Rhinolophus ferrumequinum: one gene and its partners. The protein of the gene in region 1 interacts with the protein of each later gene in a pairwise test. Links are inferred from orthologs where the notes say so. Each region holds a gene or a part of one and is shown in the gene's direction. Other genes may lie near its edges.

The links.
Region 2: the proteins of UBE2W (region 1) and RNF111 interact in a two-hybrid assay, tested with the Homo sapiens proteins (2 studies listed by BioGRID and IntAct). The link is inferred for Rhinolophus ferrumequinum from reciprocal best matches to the Homo sapiens genes UBE2W and RNF111.
Region 3: the proteins of UBE2W (region 1) and RNF26 interact in a two-hybrid assay, tested with the Homo sapiens proteins (2 studies listed by BioGRID and IntAct). The link is inferred for Rhinolophus ferrumequinum from reciprocal best matches to the Homo sapiens genes UBE2W and RNF26.
Region 4: the proteins of UBE2W (region 1) and AMFR interact in a two-hybrid assay, tested with the Homo sapiens proteins (2 studies listed by BioGRID and IntAct). The link is inferred for Rhinolophus ferrumequinum from reciprocal best matches to the Homo sapiens genes UBE2W and AMFR.

Annotation. Positions count from the first base shown.
Region 1 is NC_046297.1:8,840,546-8,847,929, forward strand, and holds the start of UBE2W (ubiquitin-conjugating enzyme E2 W), read left to right. Parts: upstream 1-4,337; 5' UTR 4,338-4,416; coding exon 4,417-4,431; intron 4,432-7,384. UniProt on the Homo sapiens protein: Accepts ubiquitin from the E1 complex and catalyzes its covalent attachment to other proteins.
Region 2 is NC_046289.1:50,671,736-50,679,328, reverse strand, and holds the start of RNF111 (E3 ubiquitin-protein ligase Arkadia), read left to right. Parts: upstream 1-4,430; 5' UTR 4,431-4,605; exon of another isoform or gene 4,606-4,813; intron 4,814-7,593. UniProt on the Homo sapiens protein: E3 ubiquitin-protein ligase. Required for mesoderm patterning during embryonic development. Acts as an enhancer of the transcriptional responses of the SMAD2/SMAD3 effectors, which are activated downstream of BMP.
Region 3 is NC_046294.1:88,566,062-88,574,075, forward strand, and holds RNF26 (E3 ubiquitin-protein ligase RNF26), read left to right. Parts: upstream 1-4,594; 5' UTR 4,595-4,894; coding exon 4,895-6,208; 3' UTR 6,209-7,125; downstream 7,126-8,014. UniProt on the Homo sapiens protein: E3 ubiquitin-protein ligase that plays a key role in endosome organization by retaining vesicles in the perinuclear cloud.
Region 4 is NC_046298.1:9,398,939-9,407,219, reverse strand, and holds the start of AMFR (E3 ubiquitin-protein ligase AMFR), read left to right. Parts: upstream 1-5,268; 5' UTR 5,269-5,462; coding exon 5,463-5,729; intron 5,730-8,281. UniProt on the Homo sapiens protein: E3 ubiquitin-protein ligase that mediates the polyubiquitination of lysine and cysteine residues on target proteins, such as CD3D, CYP3A4, CFTR, INSIG1, SOAT2/ACAT2 and APOB for proteasomal degradation.

The DNA of each region.
Region 1 (7,384 bases):
AAATGAATTATTTTTTTCCTTTACTTTCATTCCTTCTACCAACTTCTGTATTTTCAAATCAGAAACATGGCACCCCACTCTTTCCTTGTCCCCTACATACAACAAGTCTCAGTCCTGTCTGTTCCCCTTCCTAAATATCTCGAGAATCCTCCTTTGCTTCCTCTGTGCCCTAGTCCAAGCCCTCATCTTCCATTGGTCACACTCTTATAATGGCCTTCTTTTCTGATTTTTGTTTTCTGATCGTACCTGATCAAATCTGTTCAGCCACCAGAGAAGTCATTCCAAAACACAAATCTGGCCTCACCACTTCCCATTTGAAAAGACCTCAACTTTGTCACATGGTTTCTAAGGTAAAGTCTGCCAACCAAGCCTGCCGTGACCAGGTCTTGCCTGCCTGTCTTCCACCTCCTTCCATCAGTTTGTTGGGCAATAACAAATTGTCATCCTCTGTAAACACCAATTACATGGTTAACGCTCCCTCTGCCTGGAAAGCCTCTTCTCCCCTTTCTCCTCTGCTCAGGCCTTGGCTCTTCCAGGAAGCCATCTTCAGGTCCTAGGCAAGACCACGTGACCCTCCCTTATGATCCCCTCATGGCCAGTCAGTAGCTTTTGTATCAAAATCCTGATTGTAAGCAATGTGAACATGGGGACTGTATGTTACTCATCTTTATATCCCCAGTGCCTGCCATTTAATATATGCTTTTTGGTCAAAATTGCCACTTTTCCTTTTTTTTTATATTTTGTCAAATTATGAATATTCACCAATTAGATATATTTGGGGGCATCAGATATTCTGGGTGAAATGTAAAATCCACCTTGCCTGTTAAGTTTCATAGTTTAAAATGAATCGATTTGATTAGAGTTACTTTTATTTTCACACCTCATTCATATGGGTCATTAAGAAATGGAATTGGAAGGACAGGATTGTGTACTAGTTAAATAATTCAATCTGTAGAGTCATGGAGTTCGAGTTCCCAAGGTAGAATTCTGATTCTGCTGTTCATAAGGTGGGTGTCTGGCAAATTCCCCGGCCTCTCGAAGCCTGTTTCCTTCCCTAGAATGTGGGAATCGGTTTATGTACCTCATAGTTCTGTTTTAAAGATTAAATAATACAGGAAATACAAGTGCCTCTTATGGTGGCACATGCAAATATTCAATCCAAGACAGCTGTTATCATTATTGCCCTTACTAAGGGCAGGTCTGGGAGGATGCCCCATGTGGGTGAGGACACTGGATGGGGTGGGGAGAGGCAGCATCCCGACCTTGCAAGTTTATCAATGGCAGGCTCAGTTCAGAGCAGAGTGTCTGCCCAGACTCTTCTGTGCTCACAGTGATGGGAAATTTGGGGATCTTGGTATGGGTATTTCTCAGTCACTGCCATATACCCCACTTCTCATCTCTAGCCAACATCACATCTGCCCACAGAAGAAAGAACAGAGTCATCTGGAAGATAAAGTAGGTACCGCGTCTCATCTACGTGGTGCTGTGCACTTCATGAAGTTCCTTTACACATGGTCTCATCAAGACTCCTCCCCAATCCATATGCTGGCATTTTTATCTCCATTTTACAGATGACAAAACTAAGGCCCAGAGAAGTTTAAATGACCAACTCCAGGTCACAGAACTGAGAAGTAGCAGAGTTATGATTCAAATCTAGGCCTTTTGATTGCAAGTCTAGTGCCTTTTTAACACATGGGTCCTTCAGGTTACTATGACTGTTTGGTTTCCCATATATCTTCCAGTTTTCTGCCAGAAAATGCAGCTGCTTTTAATCCTCTATCACAGGCTGTGCCTTTCCTTGAAAGGGAAAACTTCAGGCACATACACAGCTTGGGTCTATCCTGGTTTTTTTTTTTTTTTTTCTTCCAGGGAGGCAGAGGTGGGGGTAGTTTCTGAGATAAGAGAGAATCACCTCCTCTAACCTGGTGGCCATTTCTAATTGCTGTGTAAATTTAAAAATGAATATCATTATCCAATCTAACAAAATAATAATTATTCCTTTGTATCATCTAATATCCATTTTATATTTAAATTTCTTCCAGTTATCTCAGAAATATCTTTTTACAGTTGGTTTGTTTGAACCAGGATCCAAACAAGGTTAACATTTGTTTAATATGTCCCTTAAATATCTTTTATTGCAATTTATGCTATTAAAAAGAATCTTTAAAGGTATGGGAAGTTTTAACTTTACTGTTGCTGAACTGTTTACAAAGTGATTGTACCAATTTCTTTCCTACAGAGTTTATGAAAGCTCCACTTCCTCTCCCACTTTTGGGATTGTCAGACATTTTACCTTTTGCCTATCTGATAGTAAGCCCCACTCTAAAGAAATGAGATGTGAGCCTAGTCTTCAAACATTGTGTAATCAAGTGTTTTAGATATAAAAATTTCATGCCCTTTGGCTATAATTACATGTCCCAACCCCATCTGAAGGTCACTATTTTATCCCGAGTACATTGGGACTTTCTATTATATATTACTGAAAGAATGAAGAAGATAGTGAAGTAATTATGTACTATTTAATATTTCCTAGGAAAGATAAGCCTGGTACTGACTTTCCCCTCTATTACGATCCTTTTTAACACACAGAAAATTCAAGGGACCAGATGTTGATTTCACTGTGAGGACTGTCAAGATTCCTGTAACCCCTTATTAGTCTTTGTAATGGCAGGTTGTTGGTTCTGATGATGTCATAATGCTTTGCGGGGTCACCTGATGTCACTTACACCTTAGGGAGAATTAGCTTTTAAACAGTGAACCTTAGATGGTAAAATCTGATCTTCTGGAGCCATTTTCTGACATCATAGGAATAAAAAAATCTCCAGAAGAAAATAAATCTGGAAAAGTTTTCCTCTTTCGTTGGAATATATGGGTTTTACTCACAGTTGAAATGTTGCCAACACACTGGGCTAACACCTGATGTGCTTCGGGGTGATTCTTGGTTGCCAAGAGCCTCCAAACATTCCTTAAGAACACAGTCGTTTCGCACAACAAAGGGAAAGCCAGCCCATTTCTGGCAATGAGGGTGGAAGTCTGAGAGAAAAAAGTAAACCAATATAACTTCCTCTGTACTGATGAAGAATAGTGTGTTTATTATTATAACATAGAATAATTGGTGTATTTTAAGATCTTTTTCCTTTTTGAACACACTTTACGTTAGGGAATTTCAAAGAACATAATCTAGCTTAAGAGTGGAAAGGATGATAGCCTACACTGCTCTTATATTTAAATATTAACTTCTAGAAATTTCTAAAAGATCTCCGAATTAATGAAAGATTTGAAGCTTTCATTCTGGTAAAGTAAAAGTTTTCTATGTGTCAGCTACCTTAATTTTTTAGAGCTAGAACACGAGATGCAAGCCTTCGGCTACCATTTTCCTCTTGTAAACCAACATCCTGAATTCTGTAATAGCTTTTTTAAAACGTGGCTTCTGATAAATGTTGGCAGAACTGGTGCATTCCCAGAATAAATTCCGTATGTTGAGCTTTCCCTACTCAGATACATCCCTAGGTCGAATGACCACAAAACTGCCCACCATGAGACAGATTGAAGTTTGGATGTGATAGAAGATATGTGTATATTATAACGTGACGGTGGTACTAAAAAAAGAAATTCATGTCTAGGGGCAAATGTCTCATCAAATGCCAATGCTGTGACAACCGTAACTATTACTGCTACACACGTGAATTTTAAATGGAGGGGATGGAGTGAAGGGGCGGAAATCGCACACAGACGAAAAAACTTCAAAATTTTCCCTTCCCTTTTGGGCAAGTTACAGCGCTACAAATCTACCCTTGTCTTTAAAGCAAAATGCTGTTCTGCTCTCAATTCTCATCCCATTGTACAAGGAAATCTGTGTCTCTCTTCCCCGAATAGGAATATGAGAAGCCCTTCAGATTCGAAAAGTCAAAAAAGCCCCGCGGAAAGTTTTGTCTTGCCCCAAGGGTCTGAAAGTGGGCGCCGTAGTGTGGAAAAAACATACATCCGAAAGGGAAAATCTGTAAACCATACACCTGTGGTTGGAAAAACAAAACAGAACAAAACAAAACAAAACAAAAAAACTCACAGTCCGGACATCATCAAGATCTCGAGACACAGACAGACAAATAAAAACAACTGTGGCCAGGTCAGAACGGGACCCGCGTTTCCCAAGCGATCCGCATGGCGGGTGGGCTCACAGCCGGCGCCAGGGAGCGGGATGAAACGGGTGACACGGACAGCGCGGGTCACGGCGCCCCGCCCGCCCCTCCCCGCGGGGGCCCAGCGCGCCAGCCAATCCCGCTTACGCCACGCCCATCCCTCGGAGGCCCCGCCTCCCGCGCCCGGGATGCTGGGCCCCCACGGCGTGACGTAAGCACGGCAGCTCCGCCCCCTGCGTCTCTGGCCTCGCCAGCCCTCGGGGGGGATGGTTCCATCATGGCGTCAATGCAGGTGAGAGGAGTTTGCAGCATCTGGGCGGGCGAGGGAGCCGCGGAGAGGATGGGAGCGTTCCGTCGGGGGCGGCATCTGGGACTCGAGGGCACCCCGGCGGGCTCGGGAGCGGCCCTGGGGGCGAGTCCTTCCCCAGCCTTAGGGCGTTGGGGAGGGGTGAGAAGCGGCGAGAAGAAGGACGTGGGGGGGGGGGGCGGTATCGGTTGGCCGAAGCGGACACCAGCCGGCCGGGAAGTTGGGGGATAAAGAAGGCGAAGGGAAGGGAAGGGCAAAGTTTGACGTTGGCTCGGCGGCAGTAGTCTGGGAGCCGTGTCCCGCTCGGACAGACGGCCGCTGCAGGCCTGCCCGCCGGACCCAGGGATGCCTTTTCCTCCGCCGTCCCCGGCCTGGCGGAAACAGCTGCTCTCGCCGTTGTCGCGCAGGGAAGGGCGGCCCTGAGAGGGGCTGAGTGTGGGGGAGCTGAAAACGCGTTCCGGGAAAAGACGGCTGGATGCAAGGGCTCTCGGCGGCCTCTCCTGAGGCCTCCCACGCCGGCCTCTCTCACTGCGCGGCCCCCGGCTCTCTTCCCTTTGACTCTTAATCCTTTGCCACTTGGGTACCTTCCTCTGCCAGCCTCCTCACTCTCAACGAACAGCAGCCCACTTTCTCACTCTCCCCGAAGCTGCCCTTCGCCCGTCGACATCATCGCCTCCTAATATGCAATGTCCCGGAGAGCCGAGTCACCGACCCCCTTAGAGCTCCCGGGATAGAGAGCTCGCCCTCAATTTTTTTTTTCCCCCTAGGGTGCCCCACCCATGCAGTCGCGGTCCGACTACAGCCCTTTGCCCTTCTTCCCCTGATCTCTAGTGGAACCTTAGTTTGGTAGAAGGTGTTTGTTAACTCGTGTCATAGCTACCTGGCTTGGCAATGCATGGTTTTCTGGCTTTCCAACTTAATGTAACCCTTTTTTTCAAATTCGAGGAGTTGGTTTTTTTTTTTTCTGGCAAAGATGGCAACCACAAGTGCAGTGTTTTAGAGATTGACTCCGCATTATCTATGGCCTGCATTTGATTTACAGATGAAGACTACCTGTATCAAAAGACATAGGAAGAGAAGGCAGAACTCCCGTCTGGAGTGTCAGCCGAGCGCTTTTTAGAGTTTTTCTCGAAAGGATTTTGTGCTTTTGTTTTTAGAAGAATAAGCAAGCCTCCCTATACACCCCTCCGTTTTTGTTTTTTTTTCCCTCCTTTCTAAGCATAACAGTGGTTTTCTTTTATCTCTTTTATTGCATCATCTTCCTCTTATGCACGTATTTGCTTCACATTTACTTACGTGCTTTTGGGTTATCCCCTTTCAACCTGTTTGCCACACGGTATTCTTTTGACTTTTGCTTCTCCCTCTGGACTTTCCTGGAGAATTGGAAAAAAATGTATATAACATTCCTCGTTGAAAAGATGTCAGCGAAATGGTGCAGGGAAAAAACAAGAACAATTTCAGGAAACATACTTTACACTAATCTCCCCAGAGACGTTAGAGAAGTTTCGTCATTTGAGACCAAAAAAGGAACTGTGAAATACTCGTTGAACAGTAGATGGGCTATACGACCAATTTAAGATTATTTGTGTTAAGAGTAAAACTGTTTTAAGACTAAAAATTAAGCTTACTATTCATAATATTTGTGATTATATTTCACAAGAAAATAATAGGGATAACTTATTAGCTAGTTAGATTTAGGCTTCCAGTCTGGAAAAGGCAGATTTCAGTTTTTAAGAGAAAAATGAGTCAGTATGGAACTTAATGTTGATAATCTTGAATTTTATGTGACGACTTAAACAATGGGGAAAAATACTTGCCAGTGTAATACTGCATTTTTCTGTGCCCCAAGTACTACCTTTGTCTTATCGCCTTTTATTTCTTTGTGTCTTCTGATGAGAGGAATGGAAAACTGGTGTTCCCTGGTGTTTTAATTCAAGTAAAACTGAGTCTTTTATTTGTATTTTAAAAACATCTCGTACAGATTTTCTGGTAGTATCTTGAAAACTATTTTAATATAGATAAATCCAGCTTTTTGAAACACAGCACTCCTTCCAATGTGGTTCTTCTGTCTTTGGTGAACACATTTTTTTTCCTGACCATCTTAATAGCAAAGTTGAACTTTTTTCCCGAAATAACTGTTACACATAAAATTGCAGCCAAATTATGACATTTGTTCATTCGCTCATCAGTTATTTTTTGAGGGCCCACTCTGTCAGATACTCATCGAATTGCTGGCGATGGAGAAGTGAACAAAAGCAGAAAAGATTTCTGCCCTTGTGGATGTTAACAGTCTAGTTGGGGAAGTCAGAGAAGAACAAAATATTTAAGTTAATTGTGTCCTGTGTTAGAAGGTGATAGTGCTGTGGGAAAAAAGTGTGGAAGGAGGTTAGGAAATGGATATTTTGGGGTTTCAGTTAGAGTGCTTGGGAAAAGATGTGCCATACATGAATGCGTCTCTGACCCTGCCTTTATCTAAAAAGTTTTCAGATTTCTTACACCAGGATATTACTGCTGCTGAAGAGGTTACTTAAGCTCTACCAGGAACTGTATTTTAAAAACATGCATGTTATACAAATGTAACATAGGATTTGACTACTTGAGTTGATAAAAATGAAATAAATTAGTCTTTAAGATCAATAACATCAATTAAGGATAGACTTTGAATTTCTCGTTCAAAAAATATTTATACTCGGAGAGTATATATTTTACAGCTGAGGTTATACCTGCTTTAGTGTACCCTATCCGTGCCTCCCAACCTTTTTTCCGGTTGTGGTACACGGGGAAAATAATTTTTGACTGGCATGCTGAGGTGGGTGGGGTTGTGGAGGTTGGAAGCATCTGGCTAGACAGTGAGAGTGGTTGGAGACGGTCAGTGTCCCAGCACACCTGTAATGCTGAGAAACTGCTCTAGAACATTGCTGGAGTTGTTCTTTCATAC
Region 2 (7,593 bases), on another chromosome or scaffold:
TTTGAGACAGAAGGAATAGTAGGTGAAAAAGCAGAGAGATATTGGAACAGCACATTGTTTTCTGGAGAACTATAAGAAATTTGAGAAGTCTAAGTGCGGGGGCAGGGAACAGGGTGTGAAGGGGTGGTATGAAATAGCACTGCAGAATCTGAATTTTGAAGAGCTTTATTTGCCAAGCTAAGGACTTAGGTCTTTATGCTGATGGTGATGGAGAGTCCTTGAAGGATTTTAAGCAACTTAGTGTCCCAAGCAGTTTCTGCCATATTCTGATAGTGGTTTAAGGTTAAATCGGGAGTGGTATGGTGATAGTGGTGGGAGCTGCAGCATAGAAATCAAGAAATTATTGTATGTAATTCAGGTGAGAGAGATCTCCCACCCCAATAATCTACCATTATTCCCCTAAATACAACCTCATTTCACCTGTTTTCTCAGTCTCACGCCTTTTCTGCTCTGGGCTTCCCGCCTTTGATTTGTTGCCCATCTAATAACCGCCCTGCCGTCATGTTAGTGACTATTCTGATTTTTAAAATCTCTCTCTTCTAATTACTCTCCACCCCGCCATTTCAAAAACCTGTTATCTTAGCAGATGGCCTTACCTCACATTTCACAGAGAAATCAAGGTCATTCAATGAGCCAAGTCCTCAATGTTCCCCCTGAAGCTAACACACTTAATTCATTTGTACAATCACTTCCTCCTCCTCCTCACCTGTTTCAATGAAAGGACTCTCCTTTCTTCTATCCAAGGCTAGTTCTTCCATCTGAGCTTTGAATCCCATTTCCTGTGCCTCCATGGAGCATCCCTTTATTTTCATTATCTTTCATCTCTCTTTCTATGCTGACGTGTTTCCCTTCATTTCTATCCTTCTAGATATGTGTCCTATCTTTTTCCATTTACTACCAATTTCATGAAAAGTACTGGTCATTGTCTAACTACACTGCTCAGTCCTTTCTAAACCAGGGTTTCTCAACTTAATATTGGCATTTTGGACCAGATCAATCTTTGTTGTGAGGGGCTGTTCTGTGCATTGCAGGATGTTTAGCAGCATCCCTGACCTATATTCACTAGATGCTAGTAGCGTCTTTCCAAAATATCTGTGGACATTGTTAAATAACCCCTGTGGGTCAAAATCACCCCAGCTGAAATCCCGTTCTAAAATATAGGACAGTTGCTGAAGCTGCTCTTGTTTACAGATATCCTTATTGCCAAATTAATGGACAGTTCATATTGTCGATAACACACTTTGATACTGAAACTCTTTTTCTTACTTGGCCTATTTCCTACTTCTCTTGGTTTTTCTCCCTTTGCTCTGGCCTATCCATATACTTCTGGAACTTCTTTTCATTCTTCGACTCTTAAAATATCAGACTTCCCCAGATATCTGTCTCTTCTCACTTATACTCTGGGTGACTTCATTCAAAAATTTCGATTCAGCTATCACATAGAAGTTAGAGTCCAAATCTCTGTCTTCAGTCCAGACCTCTTTTTTGAGCTCCAGACCCATATATCCAATAGCTTACTGGAATCTTTACTTTGAGTAAATATTAGATACCTCAAACTCAACTTGCCCAATAAAGGAGTAGTTGTTTTCTTTCTCTGAACCTTTTTCCTCATGCTGACCCCAACCAAAAGTCCCAAACCCAAAAAGTTGGGTTTTGCAAGCCTGTGTTTCTTTATTAAATGGCACTACCACCCCATATATCCAATTAGTTATTAAGTCTTCTTATCTCTTGAATCTGTGCCTTTTCATTCTCATTTCCACCACCCTCCTCACTTTTACCTGCCATTCCAACTGGTCTTCACTCCTTTACTCTTGCTCCTCTCCAATCCACCCTCTATTTGGTTTATAAATGGGATCTCTAATAGTCAAATCTATTATTGCTCTGATTGATTTCCTTTAATGGCTCCCAGTATTTTAAGTATAAAATTGTTCTAATACCTTATCCTAGCAAACACAATCTTACTTAAGTTAGTCCATTTCTATCTACTTTTTTTTCTCGCAACTCTTGATAATTTCCCCAAGATACATTCAGTAGCTCCTAGTAGAGAATTTGCTTCATGCTGTTTCAGGTACAGGATTCTGTACCTTAGCATGTGCTGATCTTTCTGCCTCGAATGCCCTTTAGTTGTTTTATTTAACTATTTTTATTAATGTTGCAAAATTTAGTTTAAACATCACTGTAGTTTAAATATCCTGCTGGTTTGACTACTGTGTTCTACCTTTGTATTCTCAGAGCACTATTACACCATCCTATCCCTTCCACATGACAGTGTAAATAATAGATTTGCTTTCTGGGTCTCATAAAACACTGCAAGTAAGGCAGTGATTATTTATTTAGTACTCACAGTGCCCAGCACAATGTCTAGCACATTCTAAGTACTTGATAAATGTTTGTTAAACAGAATACTAAAGACCTAGACTAGTGCAGAGTATGGAGAGGAATGGGTTGATTTTTGATATTTGAGATATTTGAGAGGCACACATGGAAGGACTTATATAATAGATTGATTAGAGGTAGAGAGTGAGGAAGAGGGAGTAATCAAAGATGACCTTGGGGTTTCTAGTTAGATAACTTGGTCCTGTTGACTGAGGCAAGAAAGGCTGAGATGGATCTGGTGTAAATACAATATACCTCCATTTATTTATTTGTTTGTTTATTTATTTATTATTTTTGACATGATGTGTTAGAGATGCTTGTGGGAGATTAAAGTGGAAATGACATATATAACAAACAGCCATATGGGTTTAGATCAGTCTGTGCTGTCCAATAGATATATAATGTGAGCTACAAATGTAATTTCTAGTAGCCATTTTTTAAAAAGTGAAAGAAACAGGTAAAATTAATTTTAATAGTATATTTTATTTAACCCTGGGGTTTCTCAACTGTGCTATTAACATTTTGGGCCAGGTGATTCTTTGTTGTGGCGAGCTCTCCTGTGCATTGTAGGATGTTTAGCAGCATCCCTGGGCCTCTTGTTAGTAGATGCCAGTAGCTACCCCCCCCCCCCTAAGTTGTGAAAACCAAAATGTCTCCAGATATTGCTGAATGTCCTGGGGGGAGAGGCAAAATCATCCAGGCTTGGAACCACTGATTTAACCCAATATATCCAAAATATTATTTCAACACGTAATCAACATTAACAATTATTGAGATTTTTACAATGTTTATATTGTATCTTTAAAATTGAATATATATGGTTTTCACTTACAGCATTTCTCAATTTGTACCAGCTACATTTCACATGCTCAACAACTATATGTGGCTAGAACCTACTTTATTGAGGAGAACAGCTTTAGAAAAGCTGGCAAGAGCTTTAGAAAAAATGTTAGGTCTGGAAATATAGGAACAGTAGGTCTGGAAATGTACAACTCTGAGAAGTTAAGAGTCGATAACAGTTAAAACCATGGCAGTAGATGAGAAGTCCAGACAGAATTTTACATTTAGAGTGAGAAAAGAGGAGGATTGAGGAAAATTCCTAGTACAGTGCTCTTCTAGTTTCCGCACACAATCTGCTATCCTTTCTTCTTATTATTTTAAAATATTTTCTTCACTGAACAAAATTGAGAACATGAGTGAACAAAAAAGGTATTGAGAAAAAGTTTATGACAAAAGGAATTAATACTTATTAAACACTTAATTGGTAAATAATGTCTGAAGCATTATATAGAATGTATTTTATCTCACAAAAAAAACCCTTTGAGGTAAATATTATCTCAATTTATAGAGGAGGAAATTGAGAATTTTTTGTTTTACATATGCTTTTTCTAAATTGAGGTGTATTTGACTTTTTTTTTTTGTGGAAATAGATTTATAAAAGACTAATACATCAGACAGCTAATTGGTATCCCTGGGATTTGAAAGGAAGTCTGATTCCAAAGCCTACATCCTCCTAATGCACATAATGAAACTTTTGCTGTCCACTGATTTTCATGAAATAAGGAGGCGTGTATGATTGCACAGACAGTTCTCAGGATATCTATGACCACTTTTTATCTGATTCTGGAAGCAGATTCATCTTAACAGTTAGGTGCCATGATCTTTGTCATCAGCGAGTATGATTTGGGTATCATTTGTCATTAAACACTAAACCATGATGTTTTTGTTTAATTGTACCGTAAATATGGTCAATAATTCTGTAGTTAGTTGTAATTTTTAGTTACGAAAAAATTAGCTAAGACTTATGTAGTCAGTGTTTTGCTTAAATACCGAACGCACAATCACCAGGGAAAATAAAATACTGTTACAAGCTTCAGGACACCATTCAGCTTCACGAACAGACCGATAAAGCGAGTACAAAGGGGGAGGGCCGGGAAGGAAGGGGCGGGGCAGTGAGAAACAAGAATCTGAGCAAGCGCAGAAACAAACATGTTAATAGAGGCGTGAAGGCTACAGCGCTCTCACTTTCCGAATTGTCGTAAAGCCTCGGAGTGTCGTGCTTGCTTGGTAGAGGAGGGATTGGTAAGGCGGCGGCGGCGACGGTAGCGGCAGAACAGCAGTAGTGGCGGCGACGGTGGCGAGGTTTTCTGTCTGTGCAGCAAAGAAACGCCCGCAGCTTCGGGGAAGGAGTTCCTGTGGGACCAAGTTAGGCATCTGAACCCAAGCCGGGTGAGCTGGGCCGAACCAGGCGCTGCAGCTCGTACAGTTTTGGTGGCGGTGACAGACGCTGCTCTTTACTATAGGGGCCTATTAGGCCGAGATCTGAAGCGCAGATCATTGGCTCTCGACACATCCTTTTCCGCCCTTATATCTCCTGTCTGCCTTCCTGGGCCAGTGATTCCAGGACCCTGGGAAGAGAGGGTGGCTAATGATTAAGGTGAGGGGGCCAGGGGGGAGGGGATCGATTGGAGGCCGCGCGTGCGCGCAACGGGGGAGGGGCCGGCCTGGAGGGGAGAAAGAGGAAGGGCTGCGGCCGCGGAAGGCTGGGGTCGGCGACCGGCCGGTGATTGCTGGCTGCGTAATGACTTAGGGTCTGGGTCTCCGCAGAAGATCTAATTGTGTTTGAGCGAAGCATTCGTCTACAGACACACCCACACCCCACACAGTAAGGGAATGTGGGTAAGGGGATTTCTTTTTCGACTCTACCTAGAGTCTTAGGATGGGGGCTGAGGACCGAGGCGTGGGTGTGCGATTTGACAATGGAGTGATGAAGGTAACCCGCACCCGGGGTGTTGGAGGGCGCTAAGTCAGCCTTCACGGTTGGGGAATTGCCTTCTTATGTGATCAAGGGAACGTCCCCGGAACAGCAGAAATACAGACGCGTTAGATTTTCTATAGAGTTGGCTTGGTCATTAAAAAAAAAAGCTTGATATTCTTATTCTCCTTAGATAATTTATCAATCAGTGACAATGCTGTAGTGGAAATAGCTGTTCTATACGGCAGAAATAGAGGGTTTTCACAATAGTTGTTAAGTAGGTTATAATAGATCTTTACAGATACTTCTTAACGCAAGTCTAAGTTTTAACGTTTAAAAAATACCAGGAAGTATAGGGTATTCATTTAATTTGTTCATGTTTGTAGTGTGGAATGACTCCATTCATTGTATTGTATGCTTTCCTGTTTCTTGATTTATGTGCAGTATGAATTTAGGACTCTGGAGTGGTAAGATGCCAGCTAACAGACTTTATAGTTCTTACACCTATTGAACCTAACTTAATCCAAACTTTATTTCATTTGTTATTTTATGTTTAATTTTCTTGTTTTAGGGACATCTTCAACTAAAAAGAACAGACGGGAAAAGCTAAAGTTCCATTTCCTTTCCCACTTTTGTTGTGTCATTGCTTTCAAATGTTACAATGTAATTTAAATAATACACAGAAGTTCTATAATAATGGTTTTACTTAGCTTTATAAGGGTGAAGATCTGCATTTTGATAGTTTGTTACTCTATGTATTTCAGTAAAAATTTTCATGTCATAAATAAACCATGTTTCTCATTCTAAACAGTCCTTGGTTGTGAGACAAAACAGGATGAGAAAGAAGCCCTTTACTCTAAAAAGAATCTTAAAAAAAATTTTTTTTTAAAGCCTTGTATTATTTTACATTCGTCTGTCTCTCTTGTCATTTAACTTAGGACAAATGACATCTCTCTTGCTCATTTGTTTGCTGCCTAAGATACAGAGTAGTATTCTAAGAACTAGTGAGCGTGTTTATGAATCGGTCTGAACAATATTGTATGAAAAACTAGAAAGAGTCTCTCCTTGTTCATCAGGGGTGCTCTATCTTATATGTGTGGATTCTTCCGTCACTTTTTTCCTTTTGTTTGGTGTCTGTTGGTCACTTGCATGTTAGTTCTGTCACCGGAATTGGTTTTTGAAGAAGGATATAATCTCATTTTGGTGAAAAATACATTATACTTGACAAATTTTACTTCAGTACTTTATTTCTACAGATAATTGAAAAATAGCTATAGTGATGTTTTAAAATACAAGAATGGCAGTTTACGACATGTCTAAAACAAAGGTATAGTCAGCAGATATTCCTAAATAGTCATTTTTACTTTACAATGTGGAATAAAAATCTCACTGAATCAAATTAGATTTTTTTAGATGTTTCTTTTATTATCAAAGAAGAGTTTCTGTAACATGGTTTATTTAGAGCATAATTATATGTGTTTCTGTTTTGACTTTTATTCCAGTGGGCTAGGATTTCAAAGGAGGGGGATGACAATACTAAAAATGGTAGTAATTAAAGTATGTTATAACTTGACATTAATATTCTATTGGTGACATGTTATGAAAGAGTATAGGGCTAGAGACAGGACATCGGGATTTTAGATCTAGCTTTGCTTGCTAGTCATTAGATCTGTAACTATTGATAACCATCCTGGGCTTCAGATCTTTCTCAACTTTTAAATGAGAAGTGTCGGCTAGATAGCCAGTTGTCCCTAGGTCTTAAATTTAATGATTTGTATTTTTAGTTAGGTGTTTCTGGTGTTTATTGTTGTATTCATCGTGATCCAATCTCCAGAAAGAAATGCTATACTGAGAGTATAAATTCCTTCATGATACATACTGTACATTAGGAAAAGAAAACTATGGTGAAGCCATGTTTGTTGTTCCAGGTAATGGTTCTGTCCCATTGTAGATATTAGTCATGATTTAATAGCTCTTATATGATACTAAAAAATGAAACTTTATTTTACTCTTGATAATGCTCTTTAAATCATCCCGAATAACTTTTCTTTCAGAAACCTATGATCACTGTTCAGTAAAAGTCCAGAATTACATTTGAATGCCACGCACCTCTGTCCTTTCTTTCCTGTATCTCAGATTCTTGCAAATAGCTGGCCCAGGTTTCTGCAAGTACTCTAAACCATTACATGAGGAGTGAGCTACAAATGTTTAAAAACAAATATTACTGAGCTTACGTTTTTAATAGAGGTACTGCATTATCATTTAGTCATTTGGTAAGTATTTATTGAATGTCTCATGTTCTTGGCATTGTTCTTGGTCTTCGGTGAAGAAGGCACTCTGCACTTAGTGGAGTGAACACTAGCTGGGGGAAACGGATAATAAACAGAATAGTTTTAGGTAGTGGTTAGTGCCTTGAGAAAATAGGACTATGTAATGGAGAATGAATGGAAGTGGAGCTTTAC
Region 3 (8,014 bases), on another chromosome or scaffold:
AAAGAGTTCCAAAATTGCTTTGAAGGGTGGACTAGGAGCTGGCATTGGTGCATAGCTTCCCAAGGGGAGGACTTCGAAGGCGACCGTAGTGATATTCAGCAGTGAGGTATGTAGCACTTTTTCTAGGATGAGTTTGCAAACTTAATTGTCACATCTCATATTGCAGATGTTCCTCAGCTACCATTGCAAATGTTGCGTTAATTTACGAGTACTTTGGAAGCACAAATTGTAACAGGAAGAAAAGCAAGAGGATTTGACTAGTTAATTAATGTATTCCTTTTTTATCCTAAGTGCTTCAACTGCTCAAATCCACACTGCATAAACCACAGATATTCATGGCGTTTGGACAATTAACACATGTTTTCAGGATATAGGTTATGAGATGTGGTGAAGTGCCTCTCTGGGCCTAAACAGTTATTGCCAGACTGGTGTTTAGGGTTATGGGTTCTGCTGTACCAGTGAAGACCTGGGTCCTGATTATCTGAGGAAAATATTTTTTGGTGTGTTTGTGATTTGTGATACTGGGAGGGGACAGAGTGGAGGGGGCAGGATAAAAACAAACCTTCTACGAATGTACCTTTTTATGTAGCTCTGACTTTGGGACCCTACAAATGATTTGTAAAATTAAAAAGCAAAATTAGGGGCGGCCAGATGGCTCAGTTGGTTAGAGCGCGAGCTCTGAACAACAGGGTTGCCAGTTTGATTCCCACAGGGGCCAGTGAACTGCGCCCTCCACAACTAGATTAAAGACAATGAGCTCCTGCTGAGCTTCTAGAGGGGTGGCCGGATGGCTCAGTTGGTTAGAGTGCAAGCTCTCAATAATGGTTGCCAGTTCAATTCCCACACGGGATGGTGGGCTGCGGCCCCTGCAATTAAAGATTGAAAATGGTGACTGGACTTGGAACTGAGCTGCGCCCTCCGCAACTAGATTGAAGGACAACGACTTGGAGCTGATGGGCCCTGGAGAAACACACTGTCCCCCAATAAAATTTATATTTAAAAAAAGCAAAATTAAATCAAAAAGGAAAAAATCCAACTCTAAAACCATGGTGGTAACATAGATTTTACTGAATGCTTGATGGGGAGATGAAGAGGAGAATTATAGTACACACAATATCACAAAACAAAACTCCTGAATTAAATATTCCTTCATGGTTTTATTTTACCTCTTAATCTTCAAGCTCCCATACCTCTAAAAACCCCTTTTATTCCCAGCTAGCATCTCTCACCTAGCAGAACAAAAAAGCATTTCTCACAGCAGCAGAAACCAACTGATGCTCCAGCAGGTTCCTTGGGGATAAAGGCCTGAGGGCTTCAGTTCATCCCACTACATCTTATATTATAGAATTCTGCAAGGATAGTATCTCCAGGCATTCAGTTTTCTTCACAATCTGGTTTATTTTCTTTACAGTCACTGGGACTCACACTACTAAACAATTTGAACTTCCTCCTAAAGTCAGTTGGTGTGAGTTCTTCCTATCAACACTCTCCAGTCTTCCTTCTCCAGACTGCAAATAGATGATGACTCCCTGCTTGGGCAACTGTGGGTTTGAACCAGCTTTATCTGAAACCCAGTCTTGGAGGAGAAAGAAATATTATCTAGTTAGTAGAGATACTTCTTGAATCAAAATCGAACCATTGTTTTCATGATCACCTCAAGGAGCAGCGATTTACAACCTCTAGGCACTGGGAAGCACCCTGGTTTTTCCAAGGGGGGCGCATCCCAACACTTCTTTTGCATTGTGGTCACATGATATTCTCAGCCATTATGTTTCTAGCTTAAGAATATTTTGTAGTAATTCATTTGTCACAAGAATTTTGACCACAGGTAACCTCTGCCTGCCCATAGATGGGTTGCCAACTGAGTCAAAGGTTGTGGCTCACTTAAGGTGGCTTTAGCTGAGTAATATCTCAGAGCACTGAAAAGGGAGGCCTTGGTACCAAAATAATGGAAATACTGTATTAGAGGATCCTGCCAACTCCAAAAAAGCCTTTCTTGGTGTGCAAATCTGGCTGGTTAATTGCACACAGTGCAGGCACAGCAAGGTTGCTGAGTTTGATTTTGGACTCATTGAGTTTGAAGCACCAGTGAGATATCTGGGAGCTGTCTGTGTTCAGGAAGCAGCCAAAACCTGAACTTTGAGAGAGATTCAGACTGAAGACACAGATTTTAAAATCATCATGTAGAGGAGAAGGCTGAAACGGAAAGAATACAGGAGAGGGTAATGTCCAGGGACCAAGGATGGAGGAAGTGGTCACTGGTGTCAAGTGTTGCAGGAAGATGCTTGCTAGGGAGATGAAGAGGAGAATTATGGTACATACAATATTACAAAGCAAAACTCCTGAGTTAGACATTCCTTCATGGTTTTATTCTACCTCTTAACCTCCAAGCTCCCACACCTTCTATTCCCAGATAGCATCTCTCACAACAGCAGTCACTGGACAAGTAAGATTTTTGAAGAGGAGATGTTAGGGGTGGTGGGATCAAGTATCTTTAAGGGGAAATGGGCATATTCTCCAAGATTTGAAATTGGGGAAAAATGCACAGTGGGACAATAGAAACAATATCAATAGGAATAACCATAACAGACCATGATCTGGGCAGGAGGCTAAAACGAATCTTTATATTATTTTCCTTTGTTTAGAGAGCTCAGCATTTTGTGGTTAGAGTTTAGATTGGGTTGGCAGTAGAGATAGACTGCTGTGTAAAATAAAATATTGTAACAAAATGGGAAGTTGGAGTCTAGGGAGAGGCCAGGGGAAAAACCAGTGGAGTTTTAGAAACTGCAGTCCTTGCTCTGCAGTATAGTGTAAACCCTATTGGGAACCCCTTACCTCAGTAAAGATTTGCTTCATACTGTTAAACAAACAAACAACTTCCATGGCTGGAAACCTTTTTAAAAGAAAGAGTTTATGGGCCATATTATTAGCCAGAAGGGACCAGGTCTTGGGGCATGAAGTTTAAACCACCAGCAGCAGGGTTAAGTAGAAAAGATAAGCATGTCCACAGTCCTGGAGCTGATGAGTGCTTTTATACATTATGTTTTGGGGAAGAAAGATATAAGTTGTTTTGAAAGAATTTACATTAGCTACAGATAAGGGGGGTGGGATAAGGTGAAGAGGGGCAGTCCTATGATAGGAGCACCATCTGTAAGGAAGAAATAGTTCCTACTTTTGATTGGTTACAGGTAACAGTCCTGAAAGTTCATGCATATGCATATGCAGTGGCGGTAGTGGTTGCTAATAAACACCTGGAGGTTGATTCAAAGTGCCAACATATATATTCAGGAATATGATCCTTTAATTGGCCTGCCATTTATTATTCCTGTCTCTTTCACTTTCCCACAGCTGTAATTTAATTTAGAACATCTCTTGTCAATACCTCAGCTTTGTATAAGTGGAACATTAGGGAATGAAGGATTCAGGCAGTGTTCAGGGAGGGGTGAAGGGGGACAGACACTTTCAGGAGTCCAGGCCACAGTGGAGATGAAGAGTTCACTACAAGTAAGAAATTAAAGCAGTGGGGACCAGGGGAAGGATAAGCCCCCAAGTACCCTTCGCTTTAGCAGAGAATACCACCAGGCTTCACAATATATTTGGGGTGGGGTTTCAAATATATTTTGAATACTAAAGAAAAGGATGATTTCTTGAGGAACCTGGAGCCTCCCAGGCCACAGATGTCTAATTAGAGTGTTCAAGCAAACAAAGTAATATGGACTGGGGTAGGAGGGTGAGCTATTTCTGGTCTGTGGCCTCCTTTTCTCAAGGACATCTGAGGATACTGAGAATACCTGATGGGGCTTGAGAAAACAGTTTGGAACAGCATCTTGGGAATCTCCTATAAAAATGTTTCCCCTTATGAACTGCTTGATAGCAGGCCCCGTCTTAAACATTTTTTGTATCCCCCGTTCATTTGTAGGAGCTCAGTAAATAAGAGAATAAATGAAAGAATAGAGGAGGATGAGAAGAAACCCTGAGGACGAGGCGGAGGCGGTGCAATTCCGGAACCCAGCTCAGAGACAGTGACCGCCAACCCGCACCTAAATAGACCACTCCCACAGATCAAGAGAAAGAACAGCTCCCATATTTAGTCCCAAGCAAAATCCTGCTCGTGTCGGGGGCGGCATATTCCTCCCCTGCCTGTCAACTGACCAATCACCGCCTCAAAAGGGCAGAGATTTCAATCTGTCTCTGCCCCTTTCTTTGGAAAGTAAATAAGTTTGGGCGCCGTTCAAATGGACCAATGAGTGCTCGATGTTCCCTGCGGTTGACTCTCGCCGATTGGCCCGAGTTCGTCGTACCTCCCCCTCGGCACGCCTCTGGCTCCATCCCTTCGCACACAAGATGGCGGCGCCCAGCGGAGAGGAGGCCGTACGTGGGGTTTGCTGAGGTTGACTCCCTTTCCCACTCCCCCTTTGGGCGCAAAGCGCTGCGAGTCCAGAGGACGGGGGCCGGGCGGGGACAGGGCACCTGCATAGCTGGACCGCGAGCCTGCGCCCAGCCTGCGCCGCCCCCACCCGGCCCCGGCCCGGTCCGTTCCGGGTCTCCTCTCGGTCTGACTCATTGCTTGGCCGTGGTACGCCACCATCAGGCCTGCAAAGCTGAGTCTGTCCTCCAGCCCGGGCTCACTTCCATCTTAGAGATGTTTGGCCTCTTCCCTCCCAGACAGCCCGCCTTCAAAACCAAGACTGCTGGACCAGCACCTGGCCCCCGTTCCCTCCATGGAGACGCCACTTCCCTCTAACCCACTTCTGTCTGACTCTTGATCCTCTCCCTGGGTTGGAAACTGCTCACTTTCCTTCCAAATTAATCCCCGACCCCCCAAAATATTGGCAACTTTGATACCTCCGTCAACCAGGAGCCAGACTTCCTTTGGACTAACCTCCTTAGCCATATGATGGAGGCTGTGTACCTGGTGGTGAATGGTGTGGGCCTAGTGCTGGACGTGCTGACCTTGGTGTTGGACCTCAACTTCCTGCTGGTGTCCTCCCTCCTTGCTTCCCTGGCCTGGCTCCTGGCCTTCATCTACAACCTGCCACACACGGTACTGACTAGTCTTCTGCACTTGGGTCGCGGGGTCCTGCTTTCACTGCTGGCCTTGATCGAAGCCTTGGTCCGTTTCACCTGTGGGAGCTTGCAGGCCTTGTGTACCCTGCTGTACAGCTGTTGCTCTGGCCTGGAGAGTTTAAAGCTCCTGGGACACCTAGCCTCTCATGGGGCACTAAGGAGCCGGGATATACTACACCGGGGCGTCCTCAATGTGGTCTCCAATGGCCATGCTTTGCTGCGCCAGGCCTGTGACATCTGTACCATCGCTATGAGCCTGGTGGCCTATGTAATCAACAGCCTGGTCAACATTTGCCTCATTGGCACTCAGAACCTCTTCTCCCTGGTGCTGGCCCTATGGGATGCAGTCATGGGGCCGCTGTGGAGGATGACAGATGTTATGGCTGCTTTCCTAGCTCACATTTCCAGCAGCGCTGTGGCCATGGCCATCCTCCTCTGGACTCCCTGCCAACTAGCACTGGAGCTCCTGGCCTCAGCTGCCCGCCTCCTGGCCAGCTTTGTGCTTGTCAGTCTCACCGGCTTGGTGCTACTGGCTTGTGTGCTGGCAGTGACGGTGACTGTGTTGCACCCAGACCTTACCATGAGGCTGGCCACACGGGCACTCAGTCAGCTCCATGCCCGGCCATCCTACCACCAGCTCCGAGAGGATGTTGTGCGACTGTCTCGCCTAGCACTGGGCTTGGAGGCCTGGCGCCAAGTCTGGAGCAGAGTCTGGAGCCGCAGCCTCCAGCTGGCGAGTTGGCCAAACAGGGCAGGGGCACCTGGGGCCCCTCGGGGTGGCCCTAGAAGGGTGCCCTCAGCCAGGACCTGGCGACAGGACACTCCTCCTGAAGCAGGGCCCAGATCAGAGGCAGAAGAGGAGGAAGTCAGGATGGCCAGAGTGACTGCTGCCTGGGGCCGGGAGAGGCTCAATGAGGAGTCTATAGCTGGGCAAGACCCATGGAAGTTGCTGAAGGAGCAAGAGGAGCGGAAGAAGTGTGTCATCTGCCAGGACCAGAGCAAGACGGTGCTGCTTCTCCCTTGTCGGCACCTGTGCCTGTGCCAGGCCTGTACTGAAATCCTGATGCGCCATCCCATCTACCACCGCAACTGTCCACTCTGCCGCAGGGGCATTCTGCAGACCCTCAATGTCTACCTCTGAAAACTGCCTGCCTGCCCACCTCTCCAGCTCCATGCTCCATACAGCCACCTGTACTAGGACAACATTAACACTTGATACCCGGGCCTGGCCTGAATCTCCTCCTGCCCCCATGGCTGTCATTCCAAGCCCCCAAGCCATACACCCAGGACATTGCAATGGGATACTCGGGAAGACTGTGACCTGGGTGGGGACAGGGTAACAGCTTCTCTTTACCTAGTGGGTCCCTGCGATTCTGAGGGTGGTGAGTGTTGCTATGCAAGACCCTGAGACTGTTTGCTGTGGACTCCCCTCCAGCTTGCCAGGGCCCACCCAGATGCCAGCCTCGGGGGTTCCCTGTCTCTGCTTCTGGTTTTTCTGTTGGGGATTTGCAGGTCCTCTCCTCTCCCTGCCCCCTCCCCCTTGTTTCCCCAGTTTGTGCAGCCACAACACATCAGTGTCATTTGAGTGTTTTGGCAACTCAAGGGCCTTGGAATGATCTTGAACCTCTACTTTCAGTCACAACTATCGCTTGGTAGGTTTTGGGGGTAGTATCTCAGGTGCCTTCAGAACTAACACTTCTCCCTGTCGTAATCTTACAAGGCTCCTTCCCAACCTGATCCAACAGCTGGGATCAAGAGTTTACCCCTGGGGGGTGGAGGGGTGGGGTGTCTGCACCTGGCTCTGGGACCATGTACCCTCTGGCACCCCAGCTCCACTAGGAGCCTCAGGAGAGAGAACCAGATTTCTACTCATATCCCTTTCACTCCCCATATCAAAATGACATTCCCCTTCTATTTGCGTCTCCCTGGCATTGGTGAGGGCAGACTGTGCACATCACTAGGGTCCAAACAAAGTAGGGGCCAGGGCCTAGGGGCGTGCAGTTCCCTGAGGGGTCTCTCTGGCTCGGTTTCCAGTGAATAAAGTTCTGTTGATAGTTCTGACAGCCTCTGTGTGCATCTTTGCAAGGGTGAGCAGTTGGTCAGGGTAACTGACATTACGGCAGGATCCAGTCCTGCGGGAGTGACAAGTGTGATCTGTGGGGAACCTGGTGGGGGAAGGGAGAAGATGGGGTGGGAGTACTGTGCCTTGGGGGAGAGCCCATGCCAGGTGTGGGTGGATTAGCTTTCATCCCCTCCAATTTGTGTCCTCATGTGCATGGGTTTTGGAAAGCCCTCCCTATCTTCTGTTTTTGCCAGAATTAAGCCCTGGTAGAGAGGAGTGTGAACTTTCTCATCCCTTGAGTTGGACTTCCCAGCTTTCCTTCTGGTGCCACTCTTCTCAGTAGGGAACTTGGGTTCCTACTGCCTGCAGTCCCTACTCGCTGATCCCTGGAGGAGCTGGTGCTTGTCTTTGTGTCTCTTGGCATAGAATGGTGCTGTGGTGGGCTAGAGTATGGCTGTGGAACCCAGTGGAGGAGAGCTGGGAGCTGAAGTACTTCTGAGGCCTGTCTCTAGCTCACTTATCCAGCCCAGACCTATCCTCATAGGACCAACAGGAGAGGGGCAACACTTCCCCATAATTAAATCCAGGATTATGATGCCAGGGACAGCCTTCTGGAAGGGTGCGGAGAAGGGAAGAGGAAAAAGGGAGGCCAGGAAGAAACTCTGAGAGACCCCTCCACTTTCTTCTGTGTTGAGAGGCTGAGCTAAGGTGGACCTGGAAAGCCCTGCTTTGTTAGTTACTGGGTTGCGGGATGGAGGCAACATTAACGCTTGATCTCCGGGCCTGGACGCTTGAATCTCCTTTTGAAGGTCAGAGAAGGGGAGTCTTGCAGGGGCTTTGTGGCTAGCCTCAGACTTGGTGGCGCAGCACAGTAGGGGAGAGTTA
Region 4 (8,281 bases), on another chromosome or scaffold:
TCCTTTGTAACTTAAGCTTTGACCTAGAAATTCTTTCTGATTGACACCTCCCAGTATGAGTGCTTGATTCGGTCATCCATATGCTGGGGCCTAGGTGAGAAAAACCTTTGATTTACGCTGCCTGGCTCAATAACCTTGGAATGTAAGAGATCTGGTTTTGAATATACAATTCCTAACACAAATCTTTTAAATTGTTTTGAACTGTTGAGTTGCAGTTGTGTCCCAGTACTCTTGTTCTGGTTTCCTGCAGGAAATAGAACTAGGGAAGTTCAAATCTGATGTATTCCTACAGCACTAGAAGAGGGTACAAGGGCACTGTTTAACACTAAGGTCTTTTGATAAGTAAGTTCTTATCACACCTCTTCAAGAACCAACCGTCTTAAATCATGCATTCCAATTCTCTACATGCTAAATGTGGAATAGCTTTTAAATGAGCTCATGATTAACTGACATGTTTGACTGCCTTCTGTGTTCCGGGTTTGTTTATAAATGAGAGCCCTCTTTTGTATTGTGTAACTACAGTATTGTGAGGTTATTTTCCCTGAGTAATCCGAGTAGTGCATATTCTATATACAACTACTAAGTGGTACTAGAAAACAATTCAATAGGTTGTGAGGAAAAATACGGAAAAAGTCTTACTCAGATGTTTTAAATCATTGTTAGCATTGATATCCCTTTGAAGAAAAGTGAAATTTGTTTTTTTCATAAGTGATGAAGACTTGTGATTTTTTAAAAAGTAGATAATAAAATGGCATTATGATAATTCTGTATATGAATTTGTACTTATAACAGCAGATCTGGATTTTTACTATTGTCTTAACTTGTAACTAGCACAGTGGTTTGGTTATTACTTTGGGTATTTAAGGGTTCCATGAAGTTAGCATTTTATTTGGATAAAACCACCAAATTAGCCAGTCCATTTTTTTTTCTTCCATGCGTAATTAGAAGTGAGGTCCTCCAGATTCAGCAGGCCAGCATGTAGTCAGTTTAGAATTCCCTTTCTTAAGTGATGTGACTCTTAGACTCTCAGGTTTTTAATGATTATTTTTTAAGTACCTGCTCAGTCGCTTGAGATGAAATGCTTGGAGCAGCTTTTCCACATTGGAGTTCCTCAAACTTAATGTTTTTACTAGCTCATAGTGTTTGGAACAGTACATGCCATCGCTAAGACTATTTCAGAGAGTGTAATTTCGTATTTCGCATGGCCAGAGAAGGCATAGTGTTTTTTTTACTGTAAGACTCATTTTCTATAATTATTCTGTTTGTTTGCTATCATTTATTATTTGGGTTAAACTGGACTCACTTCAGTTTCCCTTTGTTGTTTAAATATGTGATGAGAAACCTAATAATGTCATTGACTTGAGCCATAAAACACATTTTAATATTAGCTTGTTTTTGTGTGAAAAAACAGACTAAAATGTAAGTAAGTCTAGATTAAGCCAGTTTAGATGTAATTCGTATTTTAGTTATGGATTGTATCGTAAGACAAATTGGGAAAATGTATTATGCTGTTCTGTTGAGGGAAAACAGTGTATTTAAAATTTAAGCTTTTGGTTACTGTGCTTACATCATAGAATACAGGCATCATTTATAGTTTAGCTTTGAGAATTTTTCTTGTATTAAGTTTATGGGAAATGTATAAAAAACTGGAGTTTTGGTTATATTTTTATATTTGTAAAGGTCGGATTATAATGGTCACTGTTCTTTTTTTAAAAATTTCATTTTACTGTCATTTCAACTAAAAAAATTAAAACAATGATAAAACAATGACTCTGTAATTGTGTGTGTGGCTGCTAACCTTAGTATGTCATCAGAAGTCCTGAATGGTTCTTTGTCATTGTCAGTGGCCAGAGGCCATTCGTTAAGAGAAAGGTTGGCATCCTAGCAAGGGCCTGAAGACCTGAGCCGTCAGTGTTGCCCTCCCCTCGCACTCCTCCATTGTGTGTGTTAGGAGTGTTCCTAAGCAGACTCAGTATCCTGCAGTGTGAAGGGGTCACACTGGATTTGGAACCAAAGGACAGAAGGACGGACGGACGGATGGATGGGGTCTACCTATCTATTGAGAAGTTATTTTACCACACAGGTGTGTCATTATATCATTGGGGACTTCGTTTCTTCACCTATAAAGAGATTGTTGACTCATAGTTTTTTTCTCAAACTTACCTGGAAGTCATGTTCTGTGACACTATGCTTGCTGCTTGTGTAATACTAATTTCAGCATCTTAAATAGAAACAACACACCCAAAATAGAATATATGTGTAATAAAACCATAGTCTTGAAGCTTTATATCTGAACAAAAGTTGAAGAAAACCTGATAAAGTTACTGCAAAGTTCTGAAAACTTGACTACTTGTCTATAGGTAGTTCATAGTAGCCACCAAAGAGCTATGAATATTCTGAAAAGAAAAGCTAAAAATTGAAAGTATACCCATTTGTGTTTTCCATATAAACTTGAAAAGTTGGTTATTTTATCCTCTTCTGCTGGATTTCGTAGTGGAACACTGTGGTCCAGCTAATGAAATCAGAATTCCATGCGAGATACATTTAAGGCTACTGGATTAGATAAGGAAGTTCACTTCCTAGGACGCTGAGAATTTTAAAACTACTCAGTCTTTCTCACAGGACAGTGAAAATCAAATGAGATCATGAAGGGTTTCAGATATTTTAAAAAATGAAAGCAGTAATGTATGTAGGTATGAATCTTACTCCACATAAATTCTGGTTTCTCTGAAATGACATTTATTTCTGTTAAATCTAGCCACCATCTCACAAAGATGGCAGGAAATTCAGTCTTTTCATTGGCAATGGGGCTACCTACCCAAAGTCTCACAAGAGTCAATCCAGAAGGCATAAATGGTACTCTGAGATGAAGATGGGGGTGGGGAGAGCTCGTTTTCATTGTGTACCCCACTGATACGTTCTTGTGCAAGTTGGAACGCCCCTTCAAGTCTGGTGCAGTTGCCTTCCTGCCACCCTTGGGCCTCAACTGACAGGTAGCCCCTTAAACCTGTGGTCCAGCCTTCCTGGTCACACCCTTTATCCCTCTGTCTTGCCTCCTCCCCTGGTCCTCTGATGGAGTGGGATCCAGTCCGAAGAACCAGTTGACTTTAGAAGTGGGTAATGTCCTTGCCAAAAAAAATCCTTCAAAGAAGGATATGCAAAAGCCTCCTTGGAGTGGGAGAGGAAAATTTTTAGTAGAACAAATATCCTAGTAAAATATCCAGACACAAACCTTTGAAATCTTTTAAAATGCAAATAAAAAATAACCTTATATAGTTGGGTTAATTTCACCTATTCTCATATTGAATCCTCAGAAAGTTTAAGCCTCTAAAAGTTTAAGACTAATTTAGACTATAGTTTTTATGTATTCAGAAGCAAAAGTAAAGAGTTGCTATTAAACACTTTACAAAGTTATTCCAGAAAACAGGTTGCCTAAAGTTCTTTTAACACTTTGAAAGTAGTGATTATATAATTCAAAGGACTGCAGCACTTTGAAATTCAACGTGGTGGAATATTGTAATATAATATGGGCAGATCTATCATCAGCTGTCTCATGGTGACAGGACAAGTTTGGTGTGGCATTTTGTAACTATTGTGATTTGGACTGAATATAAATCATCTCAGTGTGGTTTAGAAATTATGGGGACTCAAACTACAACAGTTACTTCCCTGGAAAATTACCATTTTTTCCAAATAAAGCTTTATTTTACCAATAAAGTTGAAAGTTTAGCATTTTAATTAAATGGCAGTGGGGAGAACCATGGGGAACTGAAGTCTAATATAGACTTCATGACTGTGTGTGTGTGAACCACTTGCCCTCTGCCAAAAGCTGAACTGTTGTGTTCCATCACAGGCCCTTTAATAGGATGTTTCTAAAAATTTCCAAGTGGATGGCAATACCTTAAGAGATCTTTTTTGTTTTCTAATTAATAGATTTTTGAACTATTAGGCATAAAAGACCTTGAAGATAATATAGTCCTTTTCTTTTTGAAAGTTTATTAGATGCAACAGATACATACTGAGCACCTACCATGGGCCAGGCACTTACAGGCCTTTGGGATACAATGAAGAATAAGACCCCCAAGGTCATGCTTTTGTTTGGCAGCACTTTTTTTTTTTTAACAGCTTTATTGAGCTGTAATTCACAAATTGAGATCTATCTCACCATTTAAAGTGTGCAATGAAATGATTTTTAGTATATTCAGTTGTGCAACCATCACCACAGATTTAGAACATTTTCATCATTAAGCTTTTACCCCCCAGGTCCCTCATCTCCCTATCCCTAAGCAACCCTTAATCTATGCCTATTCTGGACATTTCATATTAATGGAATCACAACATGTGGCCCTTTGGTCTGGCTGCTTTCACTTAGCACGGTTTAAAGGTTTGTCCAGGTTGCAGCATATCAGTACTTCGCTCATTTTTATAGCGGAATGAAACTGCATTGTATCCCTTATCTATGGATTCATCATTTAATGAACATTAGGGTTGTTTCCACCCTTGGCTATTAACAATGCTGCTATCAACATTTGTGTACAAGTTCTGTGCGGACCCATGTTTTCATTTCTTTGGGTACACACCTAGGAGTGGAATTGCTACGTCAAATGGTCACTCTTACGTTGAACTTTTTCAGGAACTGACAGACTATTTTCCAAAGTACATGCACCATTTTACATTCCTACCTGGTGTATGAAGGAACACATTTTTACTTCTTGCTGAACTAGGTTCGTCTTAGACTCTGCTCGAGACTACTAGTAAGCAGCAGAAACTTGACAGCTTTTTACTGGCGAGAAATTCACGACTTGATTAATACTTTCTTTTGGGATCAGGGCCTCTATTACTTCCTCTATTATTCCCGTCTCTTTTGTCCATCGGGGAAGCTGCTAGGCCCACAGGTGTGCTCAAGAATAACCTACTTATGGGGGTTAAAGGTAACGAAGGGGCAAGGGGCCAGACACGCCTGGTGGCCCGGGTCCCTGCATCCTACAAACGGGCCACACAGCTTGGGTCTGACCGCCCGTCAGTGCCGTCGGGCCTGGGTGGCGCGCTTCAGCTCGGACCCGGCGGGTGCCCCATGGGTCCGCGGCCCAGCTGAGCTGGGCAGTCGGCGGAGGATAATGCTGGGTGCCGGGCCCCAGGGCCTGCCGCAGCGGCCTTCCCTGGCCGGGCCGCGGCGCGGCCGCTGGGGGCGGGGGACGGAGGCCGCGCCCCCGCTCCCATCCCGCCCGCACCCGGCAGGAGGCGACGGCCCGCCCCGAGCCAGCCGAGGCTCTTCCGCGCCGGCAGGGGCAGCAGCGGGAGCGGCGCGAGCGGTCAGGAGCGGCCCGGCCCGGCCCGGCGCGGCAGCGGCAGCGGCAGCAGCTGCAGCTACGCAAGAGCCCGTGGGCGCCGTTCGCGAGGCCGCTGCAGGGGCCCGGCCGCAAAGCGGGGAGGCCTGCGGGCTGGAGGGCGCCGCTGCCGCCATGCCGCTGCTCTTCCTCGAGCGCTTCCCTTGGCCCAGCCTCCGCACCTACACGGGCCTCAGCGGCCTGGCTCTGCTCGGCTCCATCGTCAGCGCCTACCGCTCCCTCAGCCCGCCCGAGGCCGAGGCCGGACCCGGGCCGGGCGAGCGGGAGCCGATAACGGCCCCGGTGCAGCCAGATCCGGCCGCGGTCGCCCAGCTGAGCGCCGGGGGACCCGGGGCCCGCGACGTGGCCCAGTACCTGCTCTCCGACAGCCTGTTCGTGTGGGTAAGCGAGGCTGTCCGGGCCGCGGTGGAGGAGCGGGGCGGGTGGCGGGGGCCGCCATGTCACCCATTATCTGTGGGGGGCGTGGCTGGGGCAAGGGTCCCCCCACTGACCTCCGTGTGCGAGGCGGGGGGGGGGCGGGGTCCCACCCGCGAGCGCGCCGCTGAAGGAGACTGTGAGGGGTTGGGGTCGCCGCTGGGTGGGAAGCAGATCTGCTGGGGTCATGAGGAGGGGCAGCCGGAAGGGCGGGCAGAGGTTGAGCGCTGGACCAAGGGACTTGAGAAAGTGGTCGGGGCGCCAGAGGTCGCGGCGGGAACCAGGGGGAGGAGAAGACAGATGGAGGGAGAGGAAGTAAAGTGCTCGCGGGGAGTAAAAGGTGGGAGCAGAGTCGGGGTTTTGGGGGACCGTGGGGAAGGAAACTGGAAGACCTCTAAGAGGAGGTTCCCAGGGAAAGACTTATTACAATTGTGAAGGGGGTTGAGTTGGTTGTCAAGCCCGGGAACGTTGTCAGCGGGTTTCAGGGAAGAGGAGGGGGCCGAGACGGAATTCAGGTGTTGAGTGTGGGAGAATTGGGGGCCTTTGGGTGTGTTTGGATATTCCTGTTCGGAGAGAGGCTGTCTCCCACAACTTTTTTTTTTGCCATTTAATATGTGATGGTCCTCTCTGGGTCAAACGAACATACAAACCCTGCTTCCTTCCCTGTCGCTTTTACGTGATGATTCATGACGGTTTCCTTTGCTGTCTGAAGACAGCAAAACATTCGGACTCAAGGGGCGGCTCATCATTTAAACTCGGAATTTCTTCTTTTAGTGGTCCATTTTAAAACACGGTTTCCAGTGTGTCTGTCAATGCAAGATAAGCACCATTTAACAAGGCAGAAATGCTGGTTTTGCTTGTTAGAACAGATAACTTCCGGCTGCGCAGATCAACAGTTACTTTGGCTAAAGAACTTTGCTTCCACCTTGGCTTTGAATGCCTCTTATGTAAACCCCACAGTGATCAGGAAAGTTGCTCCAGGATTTCAGTGTGTCACCTGGGTTTACTGTGGCGTCTTGGGTCTTGTCTCCGCCCGCAAGTTCCCATTTGGGGTTGAGAGTAGGCTGTAAATGACTGAGATTAATATTCCAAGTGTATAGAATGATAGGCAACTCATTTGTTATAATTAATCCCACTGTGCTTCATCAGGAGGCAGTGGGATTTGCGAACTCTGTGGGCTGTGGATTAAGTCTCCTGGTCCTTCTGATGAAGAGATTAGCAGAAGGCAGTGGAGGGGAAAGTTCCATTCCTGCACTTTTGTGTAAAGCTGAACCATACAGAACCGGAAAAGGGAGAAGAGAAGGAATTCCATTCACATCTCTTACTTAATTTCATATCTATTTTTGCGTTTGAGTTAGCAGGTAAACGACTTAAAGTGATGTGAAGAGTGCTTTTGCCAAATGTTAAGATTACAATGTAGTTTTGATTTTTTTTAAGTGTATATAAATAAGTGTATATAAATATAAATAAGCCTTTGAGAAGGAACCACTATGGTCTTTATAAATAACAACTACTAGTATTGTTTCGTGTTTTTTTCCCCCTAGTTTTTTTTTTACAAAACCCAGTTTCAAATTCCAATGTGAACACCTCTTCATAAAACAAACATAAAGCTGTTGATTTTTTTCCTGTGAAAATTATTTTAAGAGAATTTCCTTTTCTCCCCGGCTCTTTGAAGCCTTGCCTTATGCAAGTTTATTGTTTCTTCCTGTCTGTTGATGATTTGTTCCTTTCTCAGTTGACCTTCTATACTGTTTTTCTTCCATCTTTCTTCTGTGGTTTTACACTTTCATCTTGGCCCTCCTTGGTTTCTGAGACTCCAGTATGCATCCTAAGTTTTCCTCTTCACTCATTACATAGTTTCTGCTTTAGCAGCGGAGCAGGAGTCACAGTCTGGAAGACTTCCTCCTGGCCCGACAGATAGCATTTTTGAGTGAATAGATGGCAGGGCCTTTGTCAAAATGGATCCTTTTTGCTCCCTGCCCCAAAACATTCAGATTCCATTTTGTAAAAACAAAGCAAGATAAAACAAAACTGATCTTTCTGCCAGTTTGCAAATCCTGTTATCTATTGTTTGGCATATTGGAATCTCTAAAACTACCTTCGGAGAGCACAACATAGATTAATATGTCTGATGGCATCTCAGGAGGTTTTTGATTAATAAACCCAATTCAAAACCTTTCAAAGGTACTGTTTGAGGCACTCTGGAGGGCATAGCTGTGAACGCTTTCCCCCTACCCTGAAAAGCAATCCATACACAAGTATGGCAAAATTTGATAAGTGGTAATAGACATATAAAGAAAATGTGGAGTTTGGAGGAGAGAGAAACTGACCTGAGGAAGGATGCATGGGAGGTGGTATTTGAACCCCGTCTTGGAAGGTGGGCAGAATCTCAGCAAGCGACATAGGGCATTCCAGGTAGAGAAAACAGCCTAGGACGCTCAGACTGGTGCGTGGACAGGGCATAAACTGGGCTGTTAAAATAAAGCTCTGTTGGCTCCTCTGATTTCACGGTGAGGTTG